Pelodiscus sinensis: one gene and its partners. The protein of the gene in region 1 purifies or fractionates together with the protein of each later gene. This does not show direct contact. Links are inferred from orthologs where the notes say so. Each region holds a gene or a part of one and is shown in the gene's direction. Other genes may lie near its edges. The genes, in order: SAP30, MTA2, ARID4A and SAP130.

Region 1 (7,146 bases):
CTTGCAGCTGTCATCATTCCTGTGTTGTCTTCTTTCTAGCTATACTCTCGCCTTGTTCCTGTCCCACTTCAGTCTGCTGAGGCTCTGCTCCCTTGGATGGTTCCTGATTCAGGCTCTGATCCTTGACTAATTTCCTGGTTCCTATTTCTGACTCTAGTCACTAAGCTGGGCTCTAACTTTAACCAGGTCAAACTGCCCACATACTGGTCTCTGATATGGCTTTTCTTCAAAACATGGTCATTAAGATCATCTTAACTTTCTTCAAACTTCATCAAAGAAATCCTGTATTTTTGTAACTGAAATTCTGTCAGCTTACCCATCTCACTTTCAAACTCTGACCCCATATATTAGCTAGGGATGTGAATGGGTAACCACTTAATCAGTTACCTGATAAGCACCCTTATCAGGTGATGCTTACTGAGTACCAATTACTGCAGCCCAGCAGTATTAGCTTCACCCTGAGATGCCAGTGCCAGTCCCCTACCTCTTAGAACCCCCCCCCCCCCCCCACCTCCAGAGCTCTCCAGCACTAGCTCCACCCCCATCACCTACCCCTGCATTGCCTCCCAACCACCAGATGAGCACTGCTGCCCAGGTCATAGCTGTTCTAAGGCTGCCGTGCCAGGCTCCATGTGGCCCTGCCTACCATGCAGCAAACTGCTCTTCTGCATCCAGGAGACCCTGCCCGTCCAGTGCTGGTTGGCTGAAAGGCAGGGCAGGATACACTTCTCCCAACAGCCACTGTGGGGGAGGTGAGGCACTGGGTAGTATACTCCAGCCCTGGCCTTCAGAGCTGCTATGGACTGCCAGTTGGGAACCACTGTACTAGAGTTACATAGCTTCCTATTAACTCTGACATATCCCTTCTATATAATATGTCTGCATGCCCAATTGAATTTCAGTTGTTATATAACTGCAATAATTTCAAATTCCAGTCTAGGTAGGACCTTAACCATATTCTGTAATATTAAGTTATATAATCATATTAAAATTCCATGTGTACTACAGACTGGAACAGTGCAACTAGACTGGCATGATTTTGCGCAAAAGCGGCCACTTTTGCGCAAAATCTTGCCGCCTGTCTACACTGGCCACGAGTATTTGCGCAAGAACACTGACTTTGTAATGTACAAAATCAGTGGTTCTTGCGCAAATACTCCAACGTTCCTGCTCAGGGATAAGCCCTCTTGCGCAAGTATTCTTGCGCAAGGGGGCCAGTGTAGACAGCCACGTTAATTTCTTGCGCAAGAAAGCCCGATGGCTAAAATGGCCATCGGAGCTTTCTTGCACAAGAGAGCATCTGCATTGGCACAGATGCTTTTGCGCAAAAACAAATCTTTTGCGTAAAGGCACATGCCAGTACAGACGCTCTCTTGTGCAAATACTTTTAACAGAAAAACTTTTCAGTTAAAAGTATTTGAGCAAAATTATGCCAGTCTAGATGCAGCCGAACTGTTATAATCCAGTTTCCTGACTCAGAATCCTAGGCTACATCTATACTGGCAGCTTCTTGCACAAGAACATTTGTTCTTGTGCAAAAACTTGCTGGGTATCTACACTGCACACGCGTTATTGCGCAAGTAAATTTACAGTACAGTGTCAGAAAACAGGGCTTCTTCCAGAAGAGTTATTCCTCTTCCCACAAGGACTAAGCCCTCTTGCGCAAGAGGGCAGTGTAGACAGGCAACATGAATTTCTTGCACAAGAAACCCCTATGGCTAAAATGGCCATCAGAGCTTTCTTGAGCAAAAAAGCGTCCACACTGCCATAGATGCTTTTGCGCAAAAGCACATGCCAGTGTAGACACGTTCTTGTGGAAGACTTTTTGCACAAGAACTCTTCCACAAAACAGTTCTTCCGCAAGAAGCTGCCAGTGTAGACGTAGCCCTGGGCTACGTCTACACTGGCATGATTTCCGCAAAAGAGTTCTTGCGCAAAAACTCTTACAGAAGAGAACGTCAACACCAGCATGTGTCTTTGCGCAAGAGATGTGCTTTTGCGCAAGAGCATCCGTGCCAGTGTAGACGCCCTCTTGTGCAAAAAAGCTCCGATGGCCATTTTAACCATAGGGCTTTCTTGCACATGAAATTCATGTTGCCTGTCTCCACTGGCCTCTTGTGCAAGAACAGTTGTGCAAGAGGGCTTATTCCTGAGTGGGAGTATCATAGGTCTTGAGCAAGCAGCACTGATTTCATACATTAGGTCAGTGTTCTTGCGCAAGAACTCACAGCCAGTATAGACAGGCAGCAAGTTTTTGTGCAAAAGCGGTTACTTTTGCGCAAGACTGTGCCAATGTAGAGACAGCCCTAGCGTATACAGAACATGTCTTCTCTGATCACCCCTTGATCTGGCACTCCACCTGTTTTGATTCAGTAACTATTGAATATGCTGTAATTAATACAGCTGAATGAATGTTTCAATGACCTAGTTGCATTTAACTATTTGATTCCCAATTTCACAGGGCTTTAAAATAAAAGCTATATCTGAGAGGAAACTCATTACCATGGACTTTGCAAACACATCAAGAAAAATAGGTCAAAGTTTGGCTCTTCATTCTATCCCTCTACCAGGGAGAGCTGAACTGTTGGATGCTTATGTTTATTAACCTTATGTACTTTTGCTATACAGTTTAGAAACTAGGTTTTGAACAAGAGCTTTCACCCTTTGTGCTCATTACCTCCATTTTAATTGTTCCTCCTGTTGAAGGCAGGTCTGAGTTAGAGTATTGTCAAGCATGATAGAGAGGTCATTTACAATTTAATTGTAAGTTCTGGAAACTAGTGATAGGGAAAACTGTTACAGCAAAATAAATGGTCCTACCACCAGGAAGGGAGATACAGGAAAAATGCTGGCTAATAAATGAACTAAGTTTGTTACTACCAAAGCCTTTTTTAATAAAATATTTACTATAAAAACATTAACTCTTATTCTTCATCCTGTATGGTGTTATCTAATTGCTTTCCAATGTTTATATATCTAAAGCTATCAACAACACAAAGAGCAAGGACCAATTATTCTCAGTAAACACAGGCAAAAATCCCAGGCTAAGTTTAGAGCTGTCAGCCAGCTCTCATTTGAAGAGGTGCCACCCCAAGTTCCTTGTACCACTCCCGTCCGAACCACCCGTCTGCAGTTGAGGGGTGAACGGGACATGTAGTCCAGCCTTTATCCCAAAAGAAAAGAGTCACAAAAGGAGAGGAAAATAAGATTTTGCAGAAACGCCTAAAAGCCTGCCACGGCGAGCTAGCTCTGTGCGCCATGGCAGGCAGGCCTGGGGGGAAACGCGCTCACCAACGGCAAGCCACGCAGCTGCAACAACACGCTCCGAGCCCTCCGGCTTGCAGCTGCTTATCCTGGCACGCAGCGCCCTTGTGGGAGACAAAACCCCACCGGTGGTAAACTAGGGGCAGGGGAACCGCTTTTCTCGCGTCCCTGGACGCGCGCAGCAAGGGAGCTTTGCAGCCCGCCCAGGCGTCCGCGCGCAAACATGGCCGAGGCGAGGGGGAGAGGCGACAACGCTGCCTGGTGGTACCAGGCGTTTCCCCGCCTCTCACGCAAGGCCTCGCTCGCTCCCCCAATATTCTGCCTCGCAGCATCTCCCCCCGGCCTGTCAGACCAACCCAAGGGGGCAGAGATGGGGCGGGCTGGGCCGAGCCGCCTTGGCAGCGGCGCTGAGGGATATGGGCGGGGCTGGGGCGAGCGGCTCCGCTTCAGCTTCCAAACAGGCGCATTTCAAATCTCAACGGCCGCTCGGACCGTCCTTTGAGCGAGAAGTGGGCCTAGCGCAGCGCGGAGCCGCCTCCTGCGGTCCCCGCCCCCTCGCGAGGGAGACCCAGGAGGAGGCTGAGACGCGGCAGTTCACTGGCGAAGAGCTCAGTCACCCCCTTTCCCCCCGCCCCCATCACATTGCAGAGGGGAGGGGCGGGCTTACAAACGTCTACAGCGGCCCTCCAGGCCCGCAAGCCCGGCTCGCGCGGTGCATTTCAGGGGCTGTAGTTTTTCAGCCCTCCCCGCCCTTGCCGACGCTGCAATGATAGAAACTACAGCGCCCATGAGCCCCTTGAGGCGGGAGGCCGCATGCGCATCGCGGAGCGGAGCCGCAGGCTGGGTGCTGCTGTTGTTACATAGGAAACAGCTGAAAAGTCTCCACATGACAGAGGGGGAAGGAGGAAGCGGGGTGACCCGGGGGACGGACGTGGCTTTTGCAGAGTGAGGCGCTTGGCCGCCTTTGGGAGCCCCCCAACAGCCTAGGGCCCCGAGTGGAGGGGGCCGAGCAGCGATCTCGCTGTGCCCCTTGAAGGAGCCCTTGTGTGCCCTTGGGGGAGGGGCTGTGCCCCCTGTTGCGGGGCTCTGTCTGCCGGGGGCCACGGGGACGGAGGTGACCCTCAGGCCGGGAGGAGGATCGTGCCCCCTGCAGCGACGCTGCCTGTCGGGCCGATTGCTGATGGGGCAGGTTTAAATCCCTCCCTTGCAGCCAAGCGCACAGACAGCGGGGAAGTTTGATTCAGCCCAGGCGGCGAGGACGGATCCTGCTCCTCTGCCGGACAAAGGGGCAGCGCAGGCGGGTGAGGAGCCCGGGCGGGTCGGCGATTTCTTCCGCCGGGATAGGGACGCTGCTGGGGCCATGAACGGGTTCGCCCCCGAGGAGGTGACCCAGAGAGGAGGGGAGGCCGCTGCCGCTACCACCGTCGTTGCTGCTGTTGTGGCCAATGCAGCCGCCACCGTGGAGGTGCCGGCGCCGGGATTAGGTCCCGGCCCTGCCGCAGGTGCCGCCGCCGCCGCCGGCTCCGCGGGGCCCCCTGGCGCTGCGGGCCCTGGGGCCGGGCAGCTGTGCTGCTTGCGAGAGGAAGGAGAGAGGTGCAGCCGGGCCGCCGGCAACGCCAGCTTCAGCAAGAGGATCCAGAAGAGCATCTCGCAGAAGAAGGTGAAGATCGAGCTGGACAAGAGTGTAAGTGAGGACTGGAAACCCGCCGCCGCCGCTGTGCGCCCCTGGGGCAGAGACAGGGTGTCCCGGGGCGGGCGTGAGTGGCAGTCAGGGCCGGGCCGGCCGGGGAATGCGCCCCTCTCGCATTAGGGCAGGCAGTGACGGCTGCTCCTGCGGGGTCACCGGCCCGAACGCCCCCAAGGGAACGAGCCCAGCCGCTGGTAGGAGCTCCCCCCAGGTGTGGGATCGGGAAGCGACTTGCGGGTCCTGTTGTCTCTCTTCACGCGCCGCGTTGCAGCTGTCCGGGAGCACAGCACAATCCCTCGCTCGCCCCTCCCCGGAGCCCCACTCCGGCCTTAAGAGTCTTTCCCGCACAGGCTTAAACTCCCTCCCTCCCCTTCCCCCCCGTGAGTGTGAGACTTTAGGCAGCAGCTTCTTTGCTAAATCGTTTGAGGTTTGCCCTTGGTGCGGTCAGCTGGAAGAGTGAAGCTTAAACTGCTTCTGTGCAGTGATGGGGGATAGGAGACTCCTCTCATCTTCCCTTCTGCTCCCTCCGGAAAAATCAGGGTGGCAGTCCGGAGAGAGGCCGTTTGTCCGGCTGCCCCCGTTTGCTGGGAAAGCTGGAGGCTGCACTCCCCTCTCCCCCGGCCGCCCCTCCAAGCTGTTCCAGAGCAGGGACTCCATGCGTGTTTGTGTGGCTGACTCTAGTGAGAGCAGCACACTTGGCCGCTCCGCCGCCTGTTGTAATGCTGCGCGTCTCTCTTGGCCACCGTGTCTTCCGTTTGGCAGCCATCAGGCTCTTCGTACTGCTCTCTACGAGAAATCGCCACGAGCGTGTGTTACCGTGTGCAGGCAACACGAGCTCCTGGCTCCCTTCCTTGGTGTGTGCTGAGAAATAAATACCCGTTGGTAGCAGATACGTTTCGAAGATCGGGAGCAGTGTTATCTGCAGAGCAAATGTCTGCCGGCTTCCTTCTCTAATGAATACTTGTTTCCTCAGTCAGAAATGCACAAGTATTTGCCAAGGCGATCTATTTTTACTTCACAGAGCAGAAATGTTAGGAGATGCTGACACAAAGAAAGGTTCTAATACACTTATTGCACTTACCACCCACAAGAGATTGAGTAAACTCATGCTGATTGGAGAAAAATGGTTGCTAATTTATATTTATGCTTTTGTTGGCTGTTGTGAGCTTTCTCTTGAATCATGGTTTATGAGAGAGCTGGTGAAGTAAACTTAAAGCCTATTGTAAATGGGCAAAAAAGCTCTTCTGCATTAACAAAAGGAAAAGCTTAGGCCCCCAATTTTTTCTGATTATATGTTGAATTAAATTGCATTTAGGTTTTTCATTTGTTTTTATCATCCCAAATTTAACTTTCTAAGTGCTTGATTGCCATCCTCCTCCCCACAACCTGTGCACCCACAGCTCCAATCATCATGTGAGATACTGATGTACAGTCAGTAGCCCTATGTGTATGTGTATATTTTCTCTGTAAAAGAAATTCACAGATTTTTAAAGATACTTTGTCACCGCTACAGGCCTTTCCTCTCAAAATGAGCTTGATTCCTACAAAAAGGAAAATTTTAAAACTAGACATACACATACTTTATTTACAATGCGTTTTCTTGGATGGTGGAAGCAAAACCAAGGAAGAGAGTTGTGAAGTGAGATAGCAGTTCATTTAAAATAATTGCAAAGTAATTTTAGCATCCTATTTCCTGTATTCTGATGAGTAACAAGAGAGCTGTACTTGGCTCTTTCTACAGCCTGTTAATACCAACTTTGAATTGGTTCACTGCAGTAGTACAATGATAGGAGGGATTTTTTAAGCCAAATACGTGTGGTAACTTTCAGCATACCAAATTTTAAGTATGGGTTCTGGTAGAAACAGCTTTCTTAAAGTCATAGGTAATGTCACCAGAGCTTCTTGATGGATCCACTTCATGATAAATTACTACAAGTATAATTTACATTATCATGTATTTCCTGGATGTGGATTTGTATTTAAAACATGCATTGCTACATTTTTAGGCAAGACATCTTTACATTTGTGACTTCCACAAAAACTTAATTCAGAGTGTGCGGAACAGAAGAAAGAGAAAAGGCAGTGATGATGATGGTGACTCACCAGTGCAAGACATCGACACTCCAGAGGTAGCTGAACAGTTGTCCTAGAAGTTGTCATATAAAGCTTGTTCTTAATTGCCACCAAGTCTGTTA
Region 2 (8,000 bases), on another chromosome or scaffold:
ATCTGCATGGGGTCAATTGGCTCCAATCCAAAGTGTGGGGCAGGGTAGAATCTGCATGCGACGGGTGAGATTGAGCAAAGGGGATTCACGGGATTGTGGGAGGTAGGGGTGGGGCCAGAATGTGCCAGTGTTGGAGGGGGTTGGGCAGAGAGATCTGTTGGGCAGGGGATCGCTTGGGCTTGGACATGGGGATTTGCCTGTGGGATCCGCTGGCGAGGGGTGGGAGGAAGGTGTTTAGATGTTATGAGAGATCTGCAGTGGGTGAGGGTGGGGCATCCGTGGGGGTGGGCGGGGAGTGTTTGGGTGTTGATGGGGGGCTGTAGTGGATGGGGTGGGAATCTTCAGAGGTGTGTGAAGAAGATTTGGAGGGGTGAGGGGTCTATAGTGGGTGGGAGTGGACAGGGAGTTTTGGAGTGGTTGGTGAGGGAGCAGCAGTGGCTGTGGAGGAGGATCTGCAGGGGTGGGCAGAGGGTATTTGAGGGGATCTCTGAGGTGAGGATGGGGGAATTACAGGGGCAGGCAGAGGGTGTTTGGAGGTGCTATGGGGTGTATGGGGGCCTGGTTGGGGGACTATAGAAATCAGGGTGGGAGTTCACAGACAGCAGGGGTGTATTGGAGGCATGGCAGGAGGCCCTGGAAGGGTATGTGCAGGAGGGGAAGGGGTCTATAGGAGCCATGTGGGGAGGATCTGTGACTCCAGATGAATCAGCCCCTTGTGCCCCCAGATCCCGGAGCAGTTTGGGGCTGTGCGCACCATCGCTGAGGGCCCCGGGGACGAGCTGCTGGTTGGGACTACGCGCAACGCGCTGCTCAGGGGCAGCCTGGGCACTGGCTTCACCCCCATTGTCCAGGTGCGTGGGGAGCTAGATTCTGGGCAGCTACAGAAACTGCACGGCCATGGGATGGCTTGGGAAAGAGGGGCCTTGGGAATAGTATGGGGGTGCAGCAGAGTGGTGGGCTGGGGAAAGCAGAAGGGGTCTGATGGGATGGGGAGCAGCATGCAGTGGGGTGAGCTAGGCCCCTGTCTGCCTCTATCAGGTTCTTCCTGGTTGCAGGGTCATACGGACGAGCTGTGGGGCTTGGCCACCCACCCCTCACGGAGCCTTTTCCTCACCTGCGGGCATGACAGGCAGGTCTGCATGTGGGACAGCGGGGAGCATACAGCGGCCTGGAGCCTCACCCTGGAGGTATGGCCCAGAGGGGATGGGGGAGCTCGTGGAGGTACCGCCCGGAGGGGAAAGGGGAACCCATGGCAGCCTGGAGCCATACCCTAGACATACCACCTGGGGTGGATGGGGGGGCTTACGGTGGCCTTGAGTGTCACCTGGAGGTACTGCCTGGGGTGGGGGAGGGATGCAAGGCCTGGAGCCTCACCTGGAGGTACCACCTGAGGGGATGGAGCGTGGGGGAAGAGGGTCAATGACCTTACAGTGTATCTCTCCCCCTCTAGGAGACTGGGCTCTGTGCTGATTTCCACCCCAGTGGCAGGGTGGTGGCCGTGGGACTCAACACTGGACGGTAACTCCCCACCACCCCCCATTACTCCCTTTCTGGCCCCTTAGGGGTGCTTGGCAGCCCTTCCCACCCCATTGGAATCACACCCAGCGAACGGCGGATGCTGGTGGCCCTGCAAGCAACACCGTGAGATTCGGGCTGTGGCCCCCATTTCCTGAGTCTGGCCCTCCAGGGATTAAGGGGTCACTGAGTTTGCCCCCAAGGCCGGACCTCCTCTCTGTTGCCCCTGTTCCCTGGGGTGGGGTCGGTCCTCTGCGTGCCTCTGCATGTTTGGCACCTTGGGAGCTCTGACCCTGCCCTGTGCCTCCAGGTGGATGGTGCTGGACACAGAGACACGGCAGGTGCTGTCATGGGGCTCGGATGGGAACGAGCAGCTCTCGGTGGTGCGGTATTCGCCAGGTCAGACCCTCATGCCTCCCTGCCCCGCTCCCCTCCCCAGCAGGCCCATTCTGACTAGATTCCTCCCCCACTGCAGCGCTGGCTCCCTCCAGCCCCCATTTTCCTCATGTTGCTGAGACAGCAAGTTCCTCCCATTCTCCCCCATTCCTGCACCCCCTCCACTGCCCCCCCTTTTGCACACAGATGGCCCCATCCCACCCCTCTTTCCCCCCCCTGCAGATGGTGAGTTCCTGGCCATTGGCTCCCATGACAACTTCATCTACATCTACAGCGTGGGGGAGGGGGAGCGCAAGTACAGCCGCTTCGGTCGCTGCACGGTGAGGCGCTGCTGGCTGTAGGGGGGGCAAGAAGAGAGGGTTGTCAGAAGGAGGCTGGGAGTGATAGGGGCTACTGGGGCAAGGGTAAGGGAGGGAAGAGAAGAGAAGAGAGTTTCAGGGGGGCTGAGAATGGGGGAAGTACTGGGAGCCGGGGGTGTGTGATTCCAAGCCCTTGGGTTGTGCATCCTTGGGAGGCACCTCAGGCTGGGGAGGGGATTCTTGAGTACCTGGCTTTAAAGTCCCATTTTCTTCCCTCTTGCTCCAGGGACACTCCAGCTTCATCACCCACCTGGACTGGTCCAAGGACAGCAAGTTCATCATGTCCAACTCAGGAGACTACGAGATCCTCTACTGTGAGTGCAGGGAAGGCATGTACTCAGGAGCCCCTCACCCTGGTGCCGGGGTGTACGTCCTCCTCATTGTGCCTGGGCCCATCCATAAGCATCTGTCATGGGGGAGATAATTCTGGTGCCCTGAGACAAGGCTGTGCGTGGTCCCCTGGTGCCTAGGCTAGGAGTTGCACCTTCATGTGGCAGTGCCGGTCACTGCAGCTGACCCTAACCCTGCATGTCTCTGCCTCCTTTGCAGGGGATGTGGCTGGCGGCTGCAAGCTGCTGAGGAATCGCTTTGAGAGCCGTGACCGGGAGTGGGCGTCATACACCTGTGTGCTGGGCTTTCATGTTTTTGGTGAGGGTTGGGAACCATAGGGTGTGTAGGGAGAGGATGAGTGTCGGGAACGGGAAAGGAGAAAAGTGTAGCCGGGAGGGAAGGAACCCAGGGGTTCCAAGAGCCACAGTCAGGAAGAGGCACTAACAGCTAGTGCATATCCTGTATCTGCTCCGCAGGTGTGTGGCCGGACGGCTCAGATGGCACAGACATCAACTCCCTGTGCCGCTCCCACAATGAGCGTGTTGTCGCTGTGGCAGACGACTTCTGCAAGGTGCATCTGTTCCAGTACCCCTGCGCCAGGGCCAAGGTGAGACTGGCAGGGATAGGGGAGTTTAAGCCCTGAACCCATGCCAAAATGAGAGGAGGCACACAAGGGGAAGGATTAACTAGGGATTTTGTTTGCTCTTCTGCTCATTCACTGGGTATTGCCCTGAGAGTTTGGGGACCAGAGATGCCCAGAGGGTCTTTGACATGGGGACATCCCAGGGGATCAGGAAGTCTCTATGGGATCTTGGGCAGGGGAATCTCTGTCTGAGTTTGGGGCAGAATAGGGGGGTCTCATCTGGGTATCACGGTGGTTCTGGGAGGTCCTGGGTGTAGTGGCAGAGCCCAAGGGCCTGGACCAGAGGTTAGGGAACAGCCTGGAGGTGATGGGATTTCATCAGTAGCCCCTACCCCTGACCCCACTCCTTGTTTTCTCTTGCAGGCGCCCAGCCACATGTATGGGGGCCATGGGAGCCATGTGACTAACGTGCGCTTTACCAATGATGACAGCTATCTGATCTCACTGGGGGGCAAGGACACCAGCATCTTCCAGTGGCGAGTGCTGGGGGGCAGCCTCACCCATAGCTGCTCGCTCTCTTCTGCTTCCCTATCTTCCCAGGAGGCAGGAGGCTGTGTCTGAGCCGGAGATGCTACAGGGACCAAGCCTCATTGCCTGTAGGCCTGGACAGCCCTGGCACATGAATCTCAGTGAGCGAGGCCCAGCCAGAGGGTTCCCTACCCCCTGGCACTAACACATGCTAATAATGCGACCTGATTCATTAACACTGGGGAAAAGGCCTAAATTCTGCTCAGGGCCTGGTACAGGTCAGAGTGGTGAGGCAGGGCCAAGGGCCTGTTGGCAGCTCCCACCACTGGGGCCCAGGGGCTCATCTGGGAGGGTGTTGGGATTGGGACTCTTGCTTTGGAGGCAAGGGATGGGTCTGGCAGGGGAACTCATGGGTCAGGGAACTGCAGGATGTGTTAATGGAGGCAGCATGGCCTTAGGGTTGGGGCTGTCCATACCCACCCTTGTTCCCCATGGTGGAGCAGTAGCCCCATTCCCAGAATGTGTATGTGTGATGGGACCTGTCCACCTGGGGGCACTCTCCTCTCTAGGGGCCTGAGGGCTGCCCCCAAACCTGGGACCAAGCCTGGAGAAGCAGGACACTGCTCTCCCCACTTTGTTTACATTCCCAGCTGCGCCAGAGCAGCAAGACGCTGAACACTGTGAGAGGCAGCAATAAAGCCTTGGCATCAGGGGCTGGGCTCCCGTCTCTTTCCTTCCAGGGGTGGGGAGCAAGCAAATAACAGTGGTAGGGGGCAGCTGGACAGAAGGTTGTATGCAGGGGCCACAGCAGTGGGGTGGGGAGAGGAAGGCATGCAAGGGGCAGCAGGGTGTGGGGCTAGTCTGCATTAGGATGGCACAAAGACCACATTTAACAGCCTCAGAATGGGGGTGAGGGGAAGCAAATGAGGCTTTTGTTCCGAGGGGGAAACGAGAGATTTAGTTCCCTAAATCCAGTGGAATACAGAGAAAACATTTCCACCTCTCTTTTGGGACACTGGGATTAGTGCAGTGGTGCTCCACTCCAGAGTTGGCTGCATCTCACCTCGGTGTAGGACTCCGCTGCAGGTGGTGAATTCTTGGGTAAATGAGTGGCTATTTTGGTCTAAACATGTCTAAAACTGCACCTGTATGTATGGAAATAATTCTAGTGCAGTTGAGGCTGTTGGGAATTGCCCCTTGAACGGGGGGCGGGGCAACCTTGAGCCCTTCGGAGAAGAAAGGGTTAAAAACCCAGGGCTTGAAGCTCCCTCCGAAAAGGCCCGAGCAGGGCAGACCGTGTCCGGAAATAACCGAAAGTTTCAGTTTCCGGATTTACCCGACGTCCTGCTCGGCGCCGGCCATCTGGAGTCACTGTCCGGAAGGACCCGATCGCCGAGAGGCTTTAGTCGACGGTGCCCGAAGCTTCGCCAGGTGCTTTCGGAAGTACCCGAACGGTTCCGGAGAAACTCGATCTCACGCGGAACATCCCGAAGCGCTGCCGGAGTCTCATCGGGTATTTCCGAGTCTTGCCGATCCTTTTCCGGAAACCACCGAAGCGCTACCGGAGTCGCATCGGGATATTTCCGAGTCTTGCCGATCCTTTTCCGGAAACCACCGAAGCGCTGCCGGAGTCGCCCGAAGTCTCCTGGTCCCGGCCTTGCGTGAGGAGGAGGAGGCGGCGGCGCGGGAGGAGATGAAGAGCGGCCGGGAGCGGGGCTAACGTGGGCCCGAGCGGAGCCGGACGCAGACGCCCCCGCCCTTCCCCCCATCGCGCGACGGGGCCATGGCGGCCAATATGTACCGGGTGGGGGGTGAGTCTCGGGCCGGCGCTGCCCCGGGCTGGGACGGAGCTGGGCAAAGGCGGGTGGACCCGGGAGGGGGAGGGGTCAGTGCGGGACCGAGCTGGGGGGCAGCGTGGGGCCGGACCGGACCGAGCCGAACCGGAGGGGAGCAGTGCGGGGCCGGACCGAGCGGGGAGGTGGAGGGGTAGTGCGGGGCCGGCCGGACTGAGCGTGGGGGGGGGGAGAGGAAGCAGAGCGGGGGGAGCAGTGCGGGGCCGGACTGAGTGGGGGGGGGCGGGGGTAGTGCGGAGCCGGCCGGACTGAGCGCGGGGGGAGAGGAAGCAGTGCGGGGCTGCGGGGGGGGGTAGTGCGGGGCCGGCCGGACTGAGCGCGGGGGGAGAGGAAGCAGTGCGGGGCTGCGGGGGGGGGTAGTGCGGGGCCGGCCGGACTGAGCGGGGGGGGAGGAAGCAAAGCGGGGGGAGCAGTGCGGGGCCGGACTGAGTGGGGGGGGGGAAGCAGAGCGGGGCTGGAACGGAGGGGAGTGGGGAGGGTAGTGCGGGACCGGACTGGACTGGACCGAGCGGGGGTGGGGGAGGAGCAGTGCAGGACCGGACCGAGCGGAGGGAGCTGGGCGGTGAGCCGGGGGAGCGCGTTCGTGCTTGGGGAGTCAGCAGGACACGGCGGTGCTGACGCTGGTGTGGGGGCTCCCGGGGCCTGACCGAGCCGGGGGGGTGTCAGTGGCTCGGCCGGAGGTGTGTCTGTGGAGGGCAGTGGGGTCAGACAGGTTGGTGTGTCTCGCGCTCCACCGGATTTTTTTTGGGGGGGAGGGGCTGTCCTGTCCTGCAGGGCTTATGGGCTGTGTGTGTGTGTGGGGGGGGGGTGATACCCCCTTAGTTCCTTAGAGGAAGGTGCCGTCCCTCCCCCCCCACATGCTGCACCCCTGTGTGGATAGTGTAGGGGAGTGGTGAGCAGTGGGTTTGTTATGTGGGGACTGGGAGGATTGTTAGAATGTGGGTGATCTAGGGTAGTGAGATGGCTTCATCTGGTATGGGGAGTCCACGGGCTCTGGAGGCCTGGGGCAGTTGGCATCAGGTTGTGGGGGGGGGGGGTAGGTGGACAATGGCAGTATGGGATAATGGGCTGGTTATGTGAGGGCAGGAGAATGTGGTGTAGGGAGCTGGTTACATGGTACGAAGAAGTTCAGAGGCTCTGGGGAAATGGAGCACTTGAGGGTCTGGCTGGTGGGTTGGGTTTGTTATTTGGGAATGAGGTAAGTTGAGGGGGCAACTGGCAGGTTATGTGGTGGAGGAAGTCCTTTGGGGAAAGCATGTTTGGTTACATAGGGAGGGGTAAGGGAATTCATCAGGTGCAAGGCCCACAGGGGACAAGGGTCGGCTGGCTCGATGGAGTATAAGATTTGGAGGGCTGTGGTTATGGCTGCTGGGGTGGGGAGCAATTAGAGAATGAGGGTCAGTGAGGTGTTTATTTGTTGTCTGCAGTTTGCTTGTAGGGTGTAAGTGGGGCAGTTGACCAAGTGGGTTATCAGGTGTTTGGGGGCAGTCTGGTTGTGGGTAGGCTATTGCACAGGCTGTGGATGAGGCAGTTTGGGGGCATGAGTTGGGGAGATTGGAGGGCAGGTTGAGGTGTCTGTAGTTCTGGGACAGTTGTGGGGTTTAAAGGCTGTGGGAAAGAGAGGCCTGGCTGGGGATGTGCCTGGTCTTGGGGAGGGTGGGTTATGTGTGGGGCAGTTTGAGAGTCTGTGGGGAATGGTGTGTGTGGAACAGTTGGGGAGTGTGCTGGGAGGTGGAGGTAGTTGTGGGACATCTCGTTTTACTGCAATTGGTGGTGGTGGCTTGTGTGGAGTTTGCTTGAGGAGGCCGGGGTGGTGTGTCTGATTTAGGGTGCTTGAGGGGGAGGGATTTCTACCATGACCCTTCCCTGGCTCAAACTGGGCATTTGACCATGTGCTGAGAAGCCCATGAGCATTTGGTGCTGCACTTTGGGTGTGGCACTTCAGGGGAAGGGAGCAAGAAGGTTGGCCCCTTTCAGTGGGGTGGGGTTTTTCTCAGGGTCTCTATTTTATAATGTCCTCCCCACTTCCCACTCTGGGGTGTGTCCCATGAGGGGGTATGATCTTGCACTGAGATCACCATACGTTTGGGTTACGTTGGAAGGTGGGAGGCTGTCTGCCTGTCCTGGCAATGCCATGCCCACGCCAGTACCTGGCTGTTATGCTGCCTGGGCATGTGGCTCAGCTATCCCTCAAGCCTGGTAAATGCTGCCCATGCTTAGCTATTGATGTTCCAGGCTGGAACCTGTTACCAGGCATTGGCAGTACTGCTGTTAAACCGGACCCTGTCCGAGCAGATGGTTGGCAGGTGGTGATGGAAAGGCTCTGGGTTCTAATGGTGTAGGGTTTGGGCTTGGGCTTGGCCCCGGCCCTGGGGAGCTGCAGCCTCGCAATGTTGCCCAAGAATGCAAATGGCTGTGGACAAGAGGAGTGCATTG
Region 3 (7,121 bases), on another chromosome or scaffold:
ACAGGATTTCTCTTCTGCCATCCCAGTGAAATAATTTTAGCTCTGAAATTGTGTGAAGCAGTTTTATAGTATTGGTTTGCTTCTTATCTAAGAAAAACTAGAAAATAAAGACAAACCATGTCCCTCAAAGGTGGATGCCAGAATTTAAGCCGCCAAGTAGGTGTGGCCTCTGTTTTAGATATTTTGAACACTAACAAATCCAACCCCGGGTAACAGGAAATGCAGTTGCTCAGCACCAGCTGTTACAATACACAAGTGAGTATGTTTACATCCAAATCAAGCAACAGAAGACTTCTGAAATTCATGGTATGTGCGGTACATATTTTAATTGAATCAAAAAATTTTCTTCATGAGGCACAAGTTCATTTCTACCAGATTAAACAATTTGTAGTAAGAATCAAGATTAGATGCAAAGACATTATAATTTTTAAAAGCTCAAGCTTTTAGAACACATCTTACAAGCACCAATATTGGCCCTCATCACTAGTTTACATAGCTTGCATACAGAATTATGTAGTAGACTGTTTTCCTCAATTCATGCAACATACCTCCATGCATTCAGAAGTGGCAAAGATTTGAAAGATCTGCAGTTATATAGCAAAGTGGGTTTTTTGCTTTAAAATAAAAACATACAGAAACAAATTGTAGAACCCACCAGAAAGTCTTTTAAGTAGGATGGCCTAAAATGTGTGTGTGGGGGGGGGGGGGAGGGGGGGGGGTTAGGCCTGAACACAAAAGTGGAAATCTAAAAAAATAATTTAAACAGTGGCATTGCTTATAGAAGTCTCTGCTAATATAGCTATAGAGTCCATAATCAGTTCAATAAAAAAGAAAGCATATTGTGTAATTGTCCAAGACAGCAAAGCTCCAAGGAGTAACTAAAGGAAAGCTTCAGAAATTTGTCCTAATTTGATTTCTCAGTTCTTTGCCTCATTTTTAGAAAGTGAGGAGGGGAACAAATTGTCCTGAGGTAAGTGAAAAGTGACAAAAACCAAAGTCCCTTATCCCAAATGGTCAGATTTTAAAACAATGACATTCAGCCTGCAGAACTGTTAGTAGATAAGGGGGAGGGTGCTCACTACTCCCACTGCAGTTCTGCAGTTTAAGTGTAGGAGAAGCCTGGCATCCCAGCTGGCACCACCCCCAGGAGTTAACACTGCTGTGCCAGGTGGCTCTTCCTACATTGAAAGGGCAGAGCCTCATTGCCTCCTGTTCCCCTCCATGACAGCGATGATGCTAGGGAAAACCAGCTTTTATCCCCTACTGAAGTACCTAAAGCATATCCAAACTATGCAACACTGCCTAACTAGGAAACTTTTCCTTTGTCAGGTCTTGCTAATGCTTCAGATCCAATACAAACCAAAATCTTTAGAACAGACTTGAAAGCTGGTTATTAGGTATCAAGCCCCTCTGGCAGCATTCAGCATATAATGGTCATCTCTGGAACTCTGATCTTTCTATAAACTCTGCATGGTGAACTCCTGCAACCAGAGCCCACTGCAAGATGGGAGTCTAAAGCACTAGACAGAAGGTTGAAGGAGTGTTCTCAAGTCAAGTTTATTATGCAAAACATTTAATAAAATTACATTTAGCTCTCAAGCAGGTTTAGTGATGACAGCACTTCACATTATAGCTTGACTTTCAGTTTAGTGCTTTATCTATTAAAGTTAATATATGAAGCCATAAAATGCTTTACACATTTAAAAGTAAAGTAAGTTTATTTTTAAAAAAATCTACTTTGTTGGAATTAAATATGAATTGATTCAGGTAGCTTAACAGGTATACACATGCACACAGCATTTTGCAAGTTCATTGACTACATGGACAGCAGCCAAAAACAAGTTACAGAACTACACTAGAATGTTACAAATGCCTCAGGAATGTATGTTGTTGCTAACTCTGAATAAAATGTTTGTGTTTTCAAAAGTTTACAACTGATTAATACAGCTTTGAAAGTGTAATATGCAGATGGAATGCTACTTTTAACTACCTTAATTTAAATGAAGAGTTCTCTTTGTATTTTTTTATTACACATTCCCTTTAGTAGTTTATGTTTAATACAGAGCATAGTACTGTATGGTGTTTTTTTGTTTTGGCTGCTGATTGTGTACTTTCAGTTCAAAATGAGGTGTGTGGATGACTACTGTCAAAGCAAAAGGTTCTCCCTTCAGCATAGGTAATCCACTTCAAGATGCAGTAGCTAGGCTGACAAGAGAATTCTCCCATGTCTATACAATGGGTCAAGTTGGTGTAACAACACTGCTCCAAGGATATGGATTTTCACACCCCTGAGCAACAGAGTTATATGGATCTAGTTTCCTGGTACACAATAAGTGTTAGTGACCCCTAATAAAACGAGTCAAAATAATTCTGGTGTTTCCAAGGAAATGAAAGTGTTCCAAATAACCAGTTTATGACAACATTCACTCCAAACTTGACTTAAGGGTGCAGAAAATACAACCTTTCATTTCATTGCCATCTAAAGAGTATTAGTACAACTAAGCTGTCTGCTCTGTGCTTCTCAGGATAACATGGCTGTGCCACTGCAGCAGAACCATGGTAAGCTGCACTGTACAGCTGCTTTTTATCATTTGAGAGCCCTCTCCTACTGACACAATAAAACCACTTCCAACAACGGGTGGTAGTTTTGTAGCAGAAAATGCTGCCACCACCAATGAAATGGTGCCCACATGAAGACGTTTTTCCATCATTAAAACTTTGTTCAGAGTGAAGTTTCACACTTCTAAGCAACAAGAGCTTTAACAATGAAAGTACCAGTGTAAAGGCAGCCTAAGATGTCAGTTCAGTTCCTTATCCCAGGAACAACCCCCACCCCAATACTCCTGGCAGCAACACCAAATTAGGGTAGCTTCCCTGTCCCTACCCTTTAACAACAGTCAATGACGTAAACATGAAAAGCCGCACCGCTTGCTATTTAGTGTAGAGGAAACTGAGCTGCCTTTGGACTGGTCAAAAGCTCTCAGCCCCAAGAAAAACGGCCTCGGAGGCAAAACACGCTTCCCCTCCCTACCATAAGTATGACTGAGACAGCGCACACGCAACCGCCCTGGTGCCCTGGTTCCAAGGGCAACACGTAGGAAACTGGCCGACAGCACGTGCAATAACGCGGCTGCGTCTGAAACCAGCAGCTGGCGAGCTCCCAAACCACCACTATGCCCGCGGGACAGGCAGCTCCTCCGAGCTCTACCCACCCTCTCGGAGCCGCGCGCCGGCTGCCGCTGGGGCGCTCCCGCCCCACGTCGAGGTGACGAGCTGCAGCTTTCAGCGTCCACGCGCTCCTGGAAGCGCAGCCGGGGGCTGCCCGCGCGCTCCAGCGGCGCCGCGGCCCGACAGGCCTCGCTCCCCGCCGGGGCGGCGAACCCCAAGCCCCACGGGGCAGCGCCGACCGGCTTACTCCGCCGCCTCCTGGGCCCAGCCAGCACCGCGGGCGGCTGCCACCTCCCCTCTCACCGAGCTCCTCCTCTGCTGCCGCCGCCAGCGGCTCCTCAGAGGTCCCTTCACTTCCGGGGTCGGCCTCGCCGAGCTTCCCCCTCCCCCAGCTGCTGCGCCATCACCGCGCTGAGGAAGGGAAGAGGCTCCCCCCTCGCTACTAGTCCAGCCACTTCGCCGGCCGAAGGGAGAGAAGACGGTCTGCAGCCGTAAGTCCCACGGAGCCCCGGCCGCCCCCTCGCCCTTGGGACGAGGGCAGGCCTCCCCCCCAGAGAGCGCAGAGACCACTCCCGCTCCCGTCCTCCCCGCCTAAAATGGGAAAGAACATCGTACAAAATGGCGCCCGAGAGGCCCACCGCGGCGCATGCGCGGTACGCAACTATGCAACCGTCGCTACTGCAGGCTTCTAGCTCCGCCTCGCCCCCGTTGCATTCCTATGAAGCAGTCCGCACCAATCACATCGCCCCGCCTCTCTTCCTGGCCCTCACGCTGGCCAATCGTGCAAGGCAGAGCTACATCCGGATCCAGTTTGCACCAATCAGCGTGAGGCAAACGATTACTTCACTTCGGAAATTTCCAATTGAGTCGAGTCCCCCGGATTCACCAATCAAAAGTCTCCGTGGCTTTACCTGCGTCGGCTTTTGACCAATCGGCTCTCGCCGTTACCCTGTGACCAATGGGAGGGGGCTGTGCGCGGCGCCCAATCCGGGCGGGGCAGAGCCCCTGGGCGTCACGAAGGGCCAATGGGAGTTCGAGCAAGGCAGCTACTGCTCAACAGCTTGTTATTTGGCTGATCGCTGGTGAGTCGGTGCGAGTCCGGGCTGGAAGGGGGGTGGAGCGGAGCGGAGCCGAGCGGCCGCTGCCTCTGCCCACCGCTGTCTCTGAGGCGCCTGGCGCGAGCGGGGCTGGGGGCCGGGCCGGGCTCGCGGCAGATCCCGACTTGGCTCCGAGTTTAAAGGTAGGGGGGGGGGGAAGGGGCAGCGAGCGGCTCCGCAGCCGCAACTCTGCTGCCGTCCCGGGGGAGGCAGAGCGGGGACCCCTCACCCGGCGGATCGACGCCCCCCTCACTCAGTCACGGAGGAGGCCCCCCCCCCGGGGGAGCGGGGACTCCCTTCCCCCGCCGAACTTCCACCCCCGCTCGCCCGGCGATTCCTCCCCTCTCTGGCCGAGGACCCCCCCTTCTCGGCCCGGAGCACGGGGGCGCCCCATCCCCCGAGGACGGGGAACGCCCCCCTCAGCCCCTCCGGGCGCGGGGTGGGCTCGGCAGGTTCCCCTCTCGGCTCTCCCCTGCTCGGCTCCCAGGGACCTCGCTTCCCCCCCGCCGGAACGCCCCCGCCCCTCGCTCCCGGGGAGCGGGTGCTCGGAGGGGGGCCCGGCAGCGGCGGGGTTTGGGTCGTGTCTTGGGTCGAAGGGTATTTGCGGGAGGCGGGGAGGGGGGCTCGAGCGGTAGCTGGGAGGCAGGGGCTGTGAGGAGGTGTGTGTGTGTGGGGGGGGGGTCTGGAGGGTAGTCGGGGAGGCAGCGGGTGTGTGTGGGGGGGTGTCTAACTCCTCGGTCCCCGTTTATAGCCGGAGGAGGCGGGGTGGAGAGGAGAGGGTCAGGTCCTTCCTGAGTAATCTCTCCTCTTGTGCTTGAGAAAGTTGAGAGGGGAAGAAGGCGGCCAAGGGCCTTGTCTCTGCTGCGCAGGAGCTGCCCTTGTCCCAGCAGCTGGGCTGCGAGCCGCTTACAGCTCCAGTGGAATAGTAGTAGTAATATTATTTTTGCCTGCGTTGCGTGTGTGTGGAGCCTCTTCTTGCCTGACATGGTGCAAAGGCGGAGGGAGCAATGGCGACTTGTCCTGACACACGGAGGGGCTGAGGAGCAGCAGGAGGCAGCCGAAGCGGGACGGAAAAGGAGGTAGTAGCGGCTCCTTGCCCAGACCTCCAAGGGCCCATTTGTTCCCAACAAGGACCCCTTTTCAGCACTTCTTGCTATCCCCTCCAGCTGCACATGCAGGGCAGCAAGTGGGGCTCAGAGGCTTCCTGTGGAGGGAATTCCTTTAGGGATGTAAGGGGTGGGTGTGCTCCTAGGGTGGAGGGAGGTGTGTGTATACAATGTGGAAGAGTGTGTTTAATAATCTACCATATGCTTGTAGCTGAATTGCAGCTTTCCTAAGATCAAGCTGTTTCCTTTTAATAATTTTGTAGGCTGGCAGACGTGTCTGATCATCTTCCTTCTCTTGTTTTCTAGGTTTTTTTCAGTATAATTAGGGTCAGAAGATATCTTTGAGCTGGAATCCCTCAAATAACCTTCAAAGATGAAGGTAAGTCTAGGTCCTTGGATGGAGGAGGAGGGGGAAGCATTTGTGCTCTGTCTCTTCTACTTGAACCAGCCACTGTATTTTTAATCACTGCATCTTCATTGAACAACAGCAAAGTAAAAGTTGGCTGTGGAAATCCACACATGTTGAATGGAATGAAATCCCATTTCTTCACTCTCAGTGCAGGGCACCTAATCCCAATCCCTCACCTCTGTGGTAACACTACTCTGGACACATAAGATGGCTTTGACTTGTCACTTGGAGTACTATTTTTAAATGCTTCCTGTGTTGGCTATAGCTTTTGTGAGTTTGCAAAACCACAGTTTTTATCCTTCCTTAGCAGTTTCAGTTTTTACAGTGCAAAGACAGCTTACCAGTTGCAAGATCAGTCACATGGAGGGAAGCACTTCTTGTATGCAGAGATGAGCAAAAATAATTTGAACACAAAATATGTCATTGCATTTCTTCATTTCTTGATTGTTTTTTACTGTGACTGTTTTTTTTTAAACATAGTAATGTAGAAATAAAATGTACAATAATAATGTTCAGGTACAGACAGATGTTCTTAAAATTGTAAGCTTGCATATCTTTTTTAGAAAAATAAATCTTAACAAAGACCTTGCAAGGAACAAAAATTACATTTGATACTTGTTTGAAAGGTTATAGCAAACTTTTCTGAGGATCTGTTGCTGCTGTTTTTCCCTTCAGAAAATCTGATGTGGAGCACACCATGAACTGCCTTTTTTTTTCTTTTTTTTCTTCCTCACAGAAAAACCAGAAATCTAAAGGTTTTGGTTATTGTATGTATTTTGAAATTGCAGCTGTCTGAGGTGCAGCTTCCATTCCAATTGAAATATTGCTTTTCTGTAAACAATACAATATGAATGTATTAAGTTGATATTCATCCTTATGTTAATGTTTCTTTCTCTATTTGTAAACATATGCTTCAGTTCTCTTTGAGGTTATTGAACAGATATTCCTGAGACAGTCGTCAGACTGATAAAATTGAGGGTCAGAATTCTTTGAGCAAAAAATTTACCCATAAACTCGGTGTGATGTAAGCTTTTTAGCCAGCCAAATACACTGACATTTACTGGCAAAACTGATGTATTTCTTTGGGCCATAGTGATCTGTGTATGCTGCAAAATAGTGCAACAAACCATAACTATTGTTTGTTCTTATTCACTTTTCATCATCAGTTATTTAAATTCTTTTTTTTAAAGTTGCTATTTTAAATAGCATTTCAGTATTTAATGACTATTAGTACATTCTTGCAAACTGGGGACATGAAAATAATTAAATGTGAAAAATCTTCACCACTCATTTTACTTGCACTGTCAAATCTTGTTGTAAAGAAAGATAAGGCTGTGTGCA
Region 4 (7,113 bases), on another chromosome or scaffold:
TGGCAAGTCGGACATCGCACAACCTAGTTTAGATTGAAGAACACAATCACATTACTTTTTCCTTAGATCATTAGTACTCCAAGGGAACAGAGTTCACCTTTCCACAGCGAATATATATTTTCTTAATTTTATAAATCATGAAATTGTATTTCAATAGTCAATGTCTTTCTTTCTGAATTACTGTCAAATCTTTACATACCTAATCGACAATGTCTCTCATCATCCCTGGCCAATAGTATTTTGAAGTCATGATATTCCTAGTTTTGAATATTCCTTCATGTCCACCCATGAAACTGTCATGATACCGTTCAAAAAGTGTCCGTGCTTCTTTCATGGTATGCACAACGATAACCTTTCTTCCTTTGGCTGAATGGTACAATGTGCCATCTGTTGAATATAGAACATGGATCAAAGAGGATGAGTAAGGTGATTGCCTGCTGCAACAACCAATGTTACATCTCTGTTAAGCATCTTCCCCTGTATCTCATTTCCTGTTCACTCATTGGTATTGAAAAATTATACAAGACACACATAGCAAGGAAATCTATACACTGTATACTTCGTAATTGTGGGAGTACAAGGTGTGACTTTCAGTGTATGATTATGATTATTTATTTGTTTTGTAAATTAGAAATCATTGCTCACTGACCAGATAGTGACTGCTGTTGGTGCCTTGCATCACAAAGGAGAATATTCATAAGACATGAAGAACAGTGATAATTTTAATTTTCAAAGAATTATAATTCTTACTAATTTATAAGGTAACTGACCAATATTTTTCATGTATGCATAGATAGCAATATAATTTTTAAATGAACTGTGAATGAAGGTAATGCTGACAATCACAGTAACAGTGAAGGTAAGGTAAACATTCCAAATAATCCCAGTGTTGGGACAGCAGTACAATCCTGTACAGCATGTATCATCCATTGTAATGTGATTATTCTATTAAAAAAAGGATTCCTTGCCTTCCAAAGAGAATCTACTAGCAAATCTTCGAAGGTTCAATCGTCCAGCCTTATTCATTCCTTCAGGATATGTGTTACTCGTTATGTATGCCAAAACATTTTTAATGTTGTCCTCAAAACATTTCCCTGAGAATTGTTCAGAACAGGAAACAGCTAGTGAATTGGAAAATGGGAAAAGCAATCCATATAACAGTCAGTTCAAGTAGAAAATATGAGATCTACATTGCGTACATATAAGCAACGTAAAACAATATTAACAAGGCCTGATTGTCAAGCCAGTGACAACAGACAAATTAATTTAAGGAACATGCATAATTCTCCTGAATGTATGTGTTACCAAAGAAGGATGTATTCCATCAATGATGATCTAATGTTTTTTGAGATTGATATCACCTAGATCCTTGATTATAGTCATTGCTTGACAAATAATTGAAAACACTACTTGACAGACAAAAAAGGGACTGAACACCCCAAGTTAATAAATTCCGACTAATAATAAGAACAGTAATTGCTAATACGTTATTAATAAAATATCCTCCCTGTTAGCAATGCATGTATTATAAACTTCAACTTTTTCCCCTCTGCTTCCATGTCTCCTCCCATTGCTCCAGTAGCTACCCTAGTGACTGCTGCCTCCTAACTCCTAAAACTCATGGTTCATAAAGCAAATGAATGCACAATAAAACACTTTTTTATGCATATTGGACAAGTAAACGTACCTTCCATAATGATGTGTGTAGTAGAAGAAACTTTTTGCTTGTTGAAAATATATGGGGAACAGATACTGTGGAAAAAGTATTAAGGATGTGAATTAAAAGAAACACCTAGAACATATACATATGAGTATCACTTGATACTCAGTACTGCAATTAAACAATCATTTAACAGAAATTTTAATTGTTAAAATTAATATATTGTAACTAGATTATCGAGTAAATTGTATATCACTGTAATGGCTCTGAGGTTGTGCACAGAATTGGTCCCTGTTACAGATATAGGAATGGGGTGAGCTTAGCAATTATATCATTGTCCTGCTTGTAGTTACTTATGGTCTCATAGGGAACATATTTTTCAACGTTGATAATTCACCACCACACTGTAGCTCTATTGCAGGAACTAGGTTACTCAAGGTTGTTATATTCCAAACTTTGAAACACACACAGACACTGCCACCCACTAACACAGAACAACTCAGAGTATTGTGTAATCATCACTCTCAGTGTGACGCATCATGGACTCTGCATGCTGTGTTTAACAGCAATGCCACACTGCACCAACTATGCTTACAGAGGTAGTTTGAGGTGGGGGAATGAGAAAGAGAGAGAGGGAACTCACCACTCTGCGGAGCTGTACACTGATCAGGGTTCCCAGATGGTGAAGGTATCTATGTGTCCAGATGGTTGAAGGAAAGCACAGCAGAAGCCACAAAACGATCAGAAAGGAGATGGTGTTGCTCTCTCAATGAAGCTTCTCCAGTATAAAACTCACTATGAACAAAAGTTTCACCAAGGCTTAGATAGGAGAATACTTGTAACATAAACAGAGGTGTGAGCAAAGGGAATGTTTTTCCTTGATGGAGGTCACAAAGCAGCTAGGCAGTTTTAGTGTTTTGGATGTCAATAGGATCATTACTATCATTGGTAAGATACTGAAGAATGAGGATGTTAGCAGCACTGGCTTCAGAATCTGATTGATCTGAAATTCCACATGAGAAATGCACCCCTCCTGCACCCAAACTCCATCCCAGATCCTGAGCACCAAACATGGCCAAGTATCGGAGGGGTAGCCGTGTTAGTCTTAATCTGAAAAATCGTTGAGGAGTCCTGTGGCACTATCTTCAGTTCGTCTATAAGGTGCCACAGGACTCCTCGCCCACATGGCCAAGTGAAACTTTTGTGATTCCTCTGATACTTGGCCATGTTTGGTGCTCAGGATCTGGGATGGAGTTTGGGTGCAGGAGGGGTGCATGCTAAGGGGAGTTTGGGGGACGGGTGTGGGCTCTGCCATGGGTCAGGAGATTGCAGTACAGGAGAGGGTGTGGATGGGAGGGACTTTAGCACATCAGCACAGTACACGAGAAAGGAGATGCAGTGACTTCAGATAGACATAGAAACTAAGAGAAAACTATTAAATACTCCAAAAGCAAGAGGCAGAGTTTGAGACAGGAACTGTCTGTAGAATATTTCACACTTGTACACATACAGAGGAAGCATTGACCATCTAGGAATTGGGAAGCCGGTGCCTTTAAGAACTCAAGCCCAGGAGCCCCCCCCCTTCCTCCCCTCGGGGCTGACAGGCAGCATCCAGGGAAAAGAAAAAAAGAAAAAAAAAAAAAGACTTTGCACCCCTGGCAAAACGATATTTACAAGGACATCAGGTGGCTCGTCCCGCAGGGTGACTGTTCCTACCTCTCCCCCTCCCGAAATGGGGGTTTTGTCCACGCACAGGGTCTGGCACTGTTCCCCCCGCCCGGGGTTAATCACGGCTACCCCCCCACCCCCGATTTTTCAAATTTCGCTCCTCTTCTGCCGCTAAAAAAAGCAGCTTGATCCCCCCAGCCAGTAAATTTTTGCCCCCTGATCAGACCATGACCCACACCCCGTTGAAATTCGCCCCCAATAATCATGTTAAACCCCTCCAAAGAGGAGGGCGCAAATCCTACAAGCCCTGGGGGCAGAGAGGGCAGCGGCTCCAGCAAGGCCACTGAGTTTGCTCAGTTCGGGTGCGCACGCTCAGTGCACCCAAACTCGCAAATGTGGAGTAGCGTTCTGCTCGCTGCACCGGCCGGGCAGAGCAAGAGCTCGCCGCTCGTGCCGCCGGGGGAGACACCGCACGCGCTCGAGCTGCAGGCCAGAGCAACAGGCTCAGCGACACACGAACCCTGCCACGCTAAACTCCGCCCCCCAACCCCGATCTCGCGAGATTACCTTGTTCTCCTCTTCCTCCCGATCCGCATGATATTTCCCTTTAGGCCCAGAATCGCGGCTGTCTTGGCCAATCGCTGCTCAAGGTCTGGCCCCGCCTTCTTCCGCGTGCCGGCGAGATTATCCCTGAAGCGCTCTCGGGTTAAACTACTTTTCCCAGAAGCCCTTTCGATGCCGCCGTTTCAACCCAGATTGGGCGGGGTCACGCGTTGTGGGCGGCACCAACCGGAGCCAATCAGGCGGAGGGTGGCTGCGGCGGTGGAAGGAGAGAGCTTGAGTCCGAGCATTGGTGTCAGCGGGAGAAACGGATTCGCAGGCGGCTGCGCGAGGCCCCAGCGCGCGCACGGGACAGCAGGTAGCCCAGGTCAGGGACGGCTCCGCGTGCCGCTTGGGCGGGCGGGCCAAAAAGGGGGGGGGTCTCGGAGGCGGGCTCCGGATCAGACCCGGCGGCAGAGGATCGCGGGAGGCTGGACGGAGGGGAGGAAACCCGACGGTGGTTTCTCAAGGGCTAGGAGCGAGGGGCTACTTCTCCGGGGGCGGGGCGCTTCTTCCAGCCGCCCCATAGGTGCCAATGGCTTGTTGGTGGCCGTTGCGCTTTATTGCTTGTGAACATCCGGGCTCTGCGCGTCCCTCACAGCGAGGTGGGTTGGGACTTGGCGTGGACAATTGCTCCCTATTGGCCAGTGCGTTCTTATCCTATTGGCTAGCTCTCTCATGAGGTCACTAGTGGGCTGGGCTCTCGATTGGTTGAGCGCACGAGCCTAAATCTGCGTTCGATTGGCTCGTGGCCCAGCTTGACCTTGGATTGGTACAGGGCTATGACGTAGTCTCCTTTATGCCACCCAATCAGCGAAGGGGCTAGTAGCCGGTTTATGGGGCTCTTGGTGCGAGGGGGGGGAAGTGGGTACTTCGCGCGCGAGCGCGGGGGGGGGATACCTGAGGAGCTGGTGCCCATTGCAGGAGGCGGTCTGGTTGCTGTGGCACAGCCTCAGGGTGATGCTGTGCCGTGCCTAGCGCGCTGCCCTGGTCCCTGCAGTGCGCCCTGAAGAAACATCCCTCTCCCTTCCACGTCTGGTCTCTGTCATCCACAACCCAGAGCAGCACCGCCCTGCCGGGTATCAGACTGTGGGAGCGTTGGGCCCTGCTTTCCACCTTCCTTTACCAAGTGATAACGTGTCTGCTTTCAAACCAGCTTTTCCCATTAAAATGCATGCCCCTTGTTCCATGGGGCTATGTTACAAATTGTCACCTCATTCCCTGCATGATAGGAGAGCGATCACATCTCTTCAAGTGTGAGCGTCTTAGGCTGAACATATTGCCAGGATTATGTTGCTTACAATTTTCATCACATTGCGCAGGTGGAAATGAGTTCTCAGCAGTTTCCCCGTTCTGGAGCCCCTCCTGCAGGACTAGGACAAGCACCACCCCCAATTTCAAACAGTGGATCTACAGGGCTGATAAACCCAACAACCACAGGTAAAACAGCTATGGAAGATTCATTTTTCCTACCAAAACAATTTCATTCTGAGGAAGTTTGAGACCGTTTGCTGCATGCTCTGCAGAACTGTATTAAGATGATTGGATGTTTAAACACATCCAAGACAGACATGACTCAAATGCTGATATAAATAGGTATGTTAATTTGAAGAATTGTAGTAAGCTCTTTTTTCACACCCCACATGTTGTACCGGATAAGTGTGGGCGGGGAATATTCAAGTTGCCTTAGAAAAACAATGTTAGCAAAAACATTTTGACTGTTTAGAAATCATCTAAAAAGTAAAGTATAGTTGTTGTACAAGATATTAATTGGCCTTTCTGTTGGGGAGGGGAGAATTGCAAAGACATCACAGGTAGGTGGAAACTAGGGAGTGGCTTCAGAACAAACTATACACCCATGAACATAGGCTGTGTTCACCTATAAATAGAAGTGCATGATTAGCTGATGTATTAAAGGGATATTGTCAGAAAGTGGATTAAAATGGTTTGTCAATATTCCTTTAATTAATTGCTAAATGAGGGTATGTATCTGATCATTTTCAAGCCCGTGTTAGAAATACCTGTTACTGTTTCATTATCTCCATAACTCTTGATTGGTGTTTGATGTCTTAGGTCCCAATTCTGCAATGAGATCTGTGCTACCAGATGCCTGCCCCGGGGACCTGGAGCTCATTGCAGGATCAGGGCCTGAGTAGTGAGTTGCCACATTACTGATGCCTCCAGCAGTAAGTCAATATGATCTTATAGAGTAAGATGGAAGGAAGCATGTTTTTAGAATTCAAATTCATAATTATGGTAGGAGATTCTGAGAGAAGTAAGTATAAAACAAATTCTAGGTAGGTTTTGATTGCCCTAATAATCGTGTTTAAAACACAGTTTACAGCTGAGCTTCCTGTGCTCTTAAGAATTTATGAGGTGGAAATAAGGTAGAAATTCCAATTTTAGTCTAATTATCACTGTCCAATGGGGCAGCTTGTGTTCTGTTTTTGTAGATTTTGCTTTGATGATTTATTTTTATTTTTAATTGGAGAAAGTAGTTAGACAGTCTTGCATTTAGTGAATTATTTAATAAAAAAAAAATTGCATACATGCCATGAGGCCTTAGTCATTGTTGGATCGGATGGTCTCAATCAGTTTATTTTGTTACTATGAATTAGATTAAAAAGAGGCTACAGTTAGAGGTTTATTTTAAGAAGGATGATTGTGTCTTGTCAGTGACTTGTGTTAGACCATGATGTGTGGAGATAATCCTTACGGCTCAAAGAGGAATACAGAGCACACTTTGCAAGAGGATTAATGACTTCTGGAGACTTTTGTTTTTCAAGCAGGTTTATATTATACCAGGATTAGTAATGTCTCTTGTGCAGGAGGTTTTAAACAAACTGCCTTTGTATGTGTACATTTTGCACTCAATTTGAGGGCTTGTTGGCAATGAGTGCATACTTCTTTTCCATTTGTATCCTTTTCCTTAGAGTTCCTTTTTTCTTTCCTCACCAGTGAGTGATGAATCTAATCGAGAGTCAGAAATTGGTCCCAGAGAGCACATGGGCCCCAGTGGCTCTCTACAGTCTCGTGAAGAGAAACAGGAACCGGTGGTTGTTCGGCCTTACCCACAGGTTCAGATGTTGACACAACACCATCCTGTCCAATCTGGTGCTGCCGTTACAGTGACAGCTCCACCAGCACATCTGACTCCAGCAGTGCCACTTTCCTTTTCAGAGGGA

Evidence for each region.
Region 2: the proteins of SAP30 (region 1) and MTA2 purify together in Homo sapiens (affinity purification with mass spectrometry; 3 studies listed by BioGRID, with this or other methods). This does not show direct contact. The link is inferred for Pelodiscus sinensis from reciprocal best matches to the Homo sapiens genes SAP30 and MTA2.
Region 3: the proteins of SAP30 (region 1) and ARID4A purify together in Homo sapiens (affinity purification with mass spectrometry; 5 studies listed by BioGRID and IntAct, with this or other methods). This does not show direct contact. The link is inferred for Pelodiscus sinensis from reciprocal best matches to the Homo sapiens genes SAP30 and ARID4A.
Region 4: the proteins of SAP30 (region 1) and SAP130 purify together in Homo sapiens (affinity purification with mass spectrometry; 4 studies listed by BioGRID and IntAct, with this or other methods). This does not show direct contact. The link is inferred for Pelodiscus sinensis from reciprocal best matches to the Homo sapiens genes SAP30 and SAP130.

The regions. Positions count from the first base shown.
Region 1 is NC_134715.1:68,330,403-68,337,548, forward strand, and holds the start of SAP30 (histone deacetylase complex subunit SAP30), read left to right. Parts: upstream 1-4,137; 5' UTR 4,138-4,624; coding exon 4,625-4,948; intron 4,949-6,957; coding exon 6,958-7,080; intron 7,081-7,146. UniProt on the Homo sapiens protein: Involved in the functional recruitment of the Sin3-histone deacetylase complex (HDAC) to a specific subset of N-CoR corepressor complexes. Capable of transcription repression by N-CoR.
Region 2 is NC_134721.1:36,551,839-36,559,838, reverse strand, and holds the start of MTA2 (metastasis-associated protein MTA2), read left to right. Parts: upstream 1-4,998; 5' UTR 4,999-5,494; coding exon 5,495-5,522; intron 5,523-8,000. Other genes in the region: EML3 (echinoderm microtubule-associated protein-like 3), read left to right, coding at 726-851, 1,056-1,187, 1,451-1,518, 1,826-1,914, 2,134-2,231, 2,497-2,584, 2,820-2,918, 3,077-3,207 and 1 more. UniProt on the Homo sapiens protein: May function as a transcriptional coregulator. Acts as a component of the histone deacetylase NuRD complex which participates in the remodeling of chromatin.
Region 3 is NC_134714.1:11,393,505-11,400,625, forward strand, and holds the start of ARID4A (AT-rich interactive domain-containing protein 4A), read left to right. Parts: upstream 1-4,111; 5' UTR 4,112-4,250; intron 4,251-4,256; exon of another isoform or gene 4,257-4,408; intron 4,409-4,957; exon of another isoform or gene 4,958-5,344; intron 5,345-5,677; 5' UTR 5,678-5,744; coding exon 5,745-5,750; intron 5,751-7,121.
Region 4 is NC_134720.1:5,765,070-5,772,182, reverse strand, and holds the start of SAP130 (histone deacetylase complex subunit SAP130), read left to right. Parts: upstream 1-4,108; 5' UTR 4,109-4,247; exon of another isoform or gene 4,248-4,256; intron 4,257-5,250; 5' UTR 5,251-5,256; coding exon 5,257-5,368; intron 5,369-6,001; exon of another isoform or gene 6,002-6,113; coding exon of another isoform or gene 6,114-6,114; intron 6,115-6,886; coding exon 6,887-7,113. UniProt on the Homo sapiens protein: Acts as a transcriptional repressor. May function in the assembly and/or enzymatic activity of the mSin3A corepressor complex or in mediating interactions between the complex and other regulatory complexes.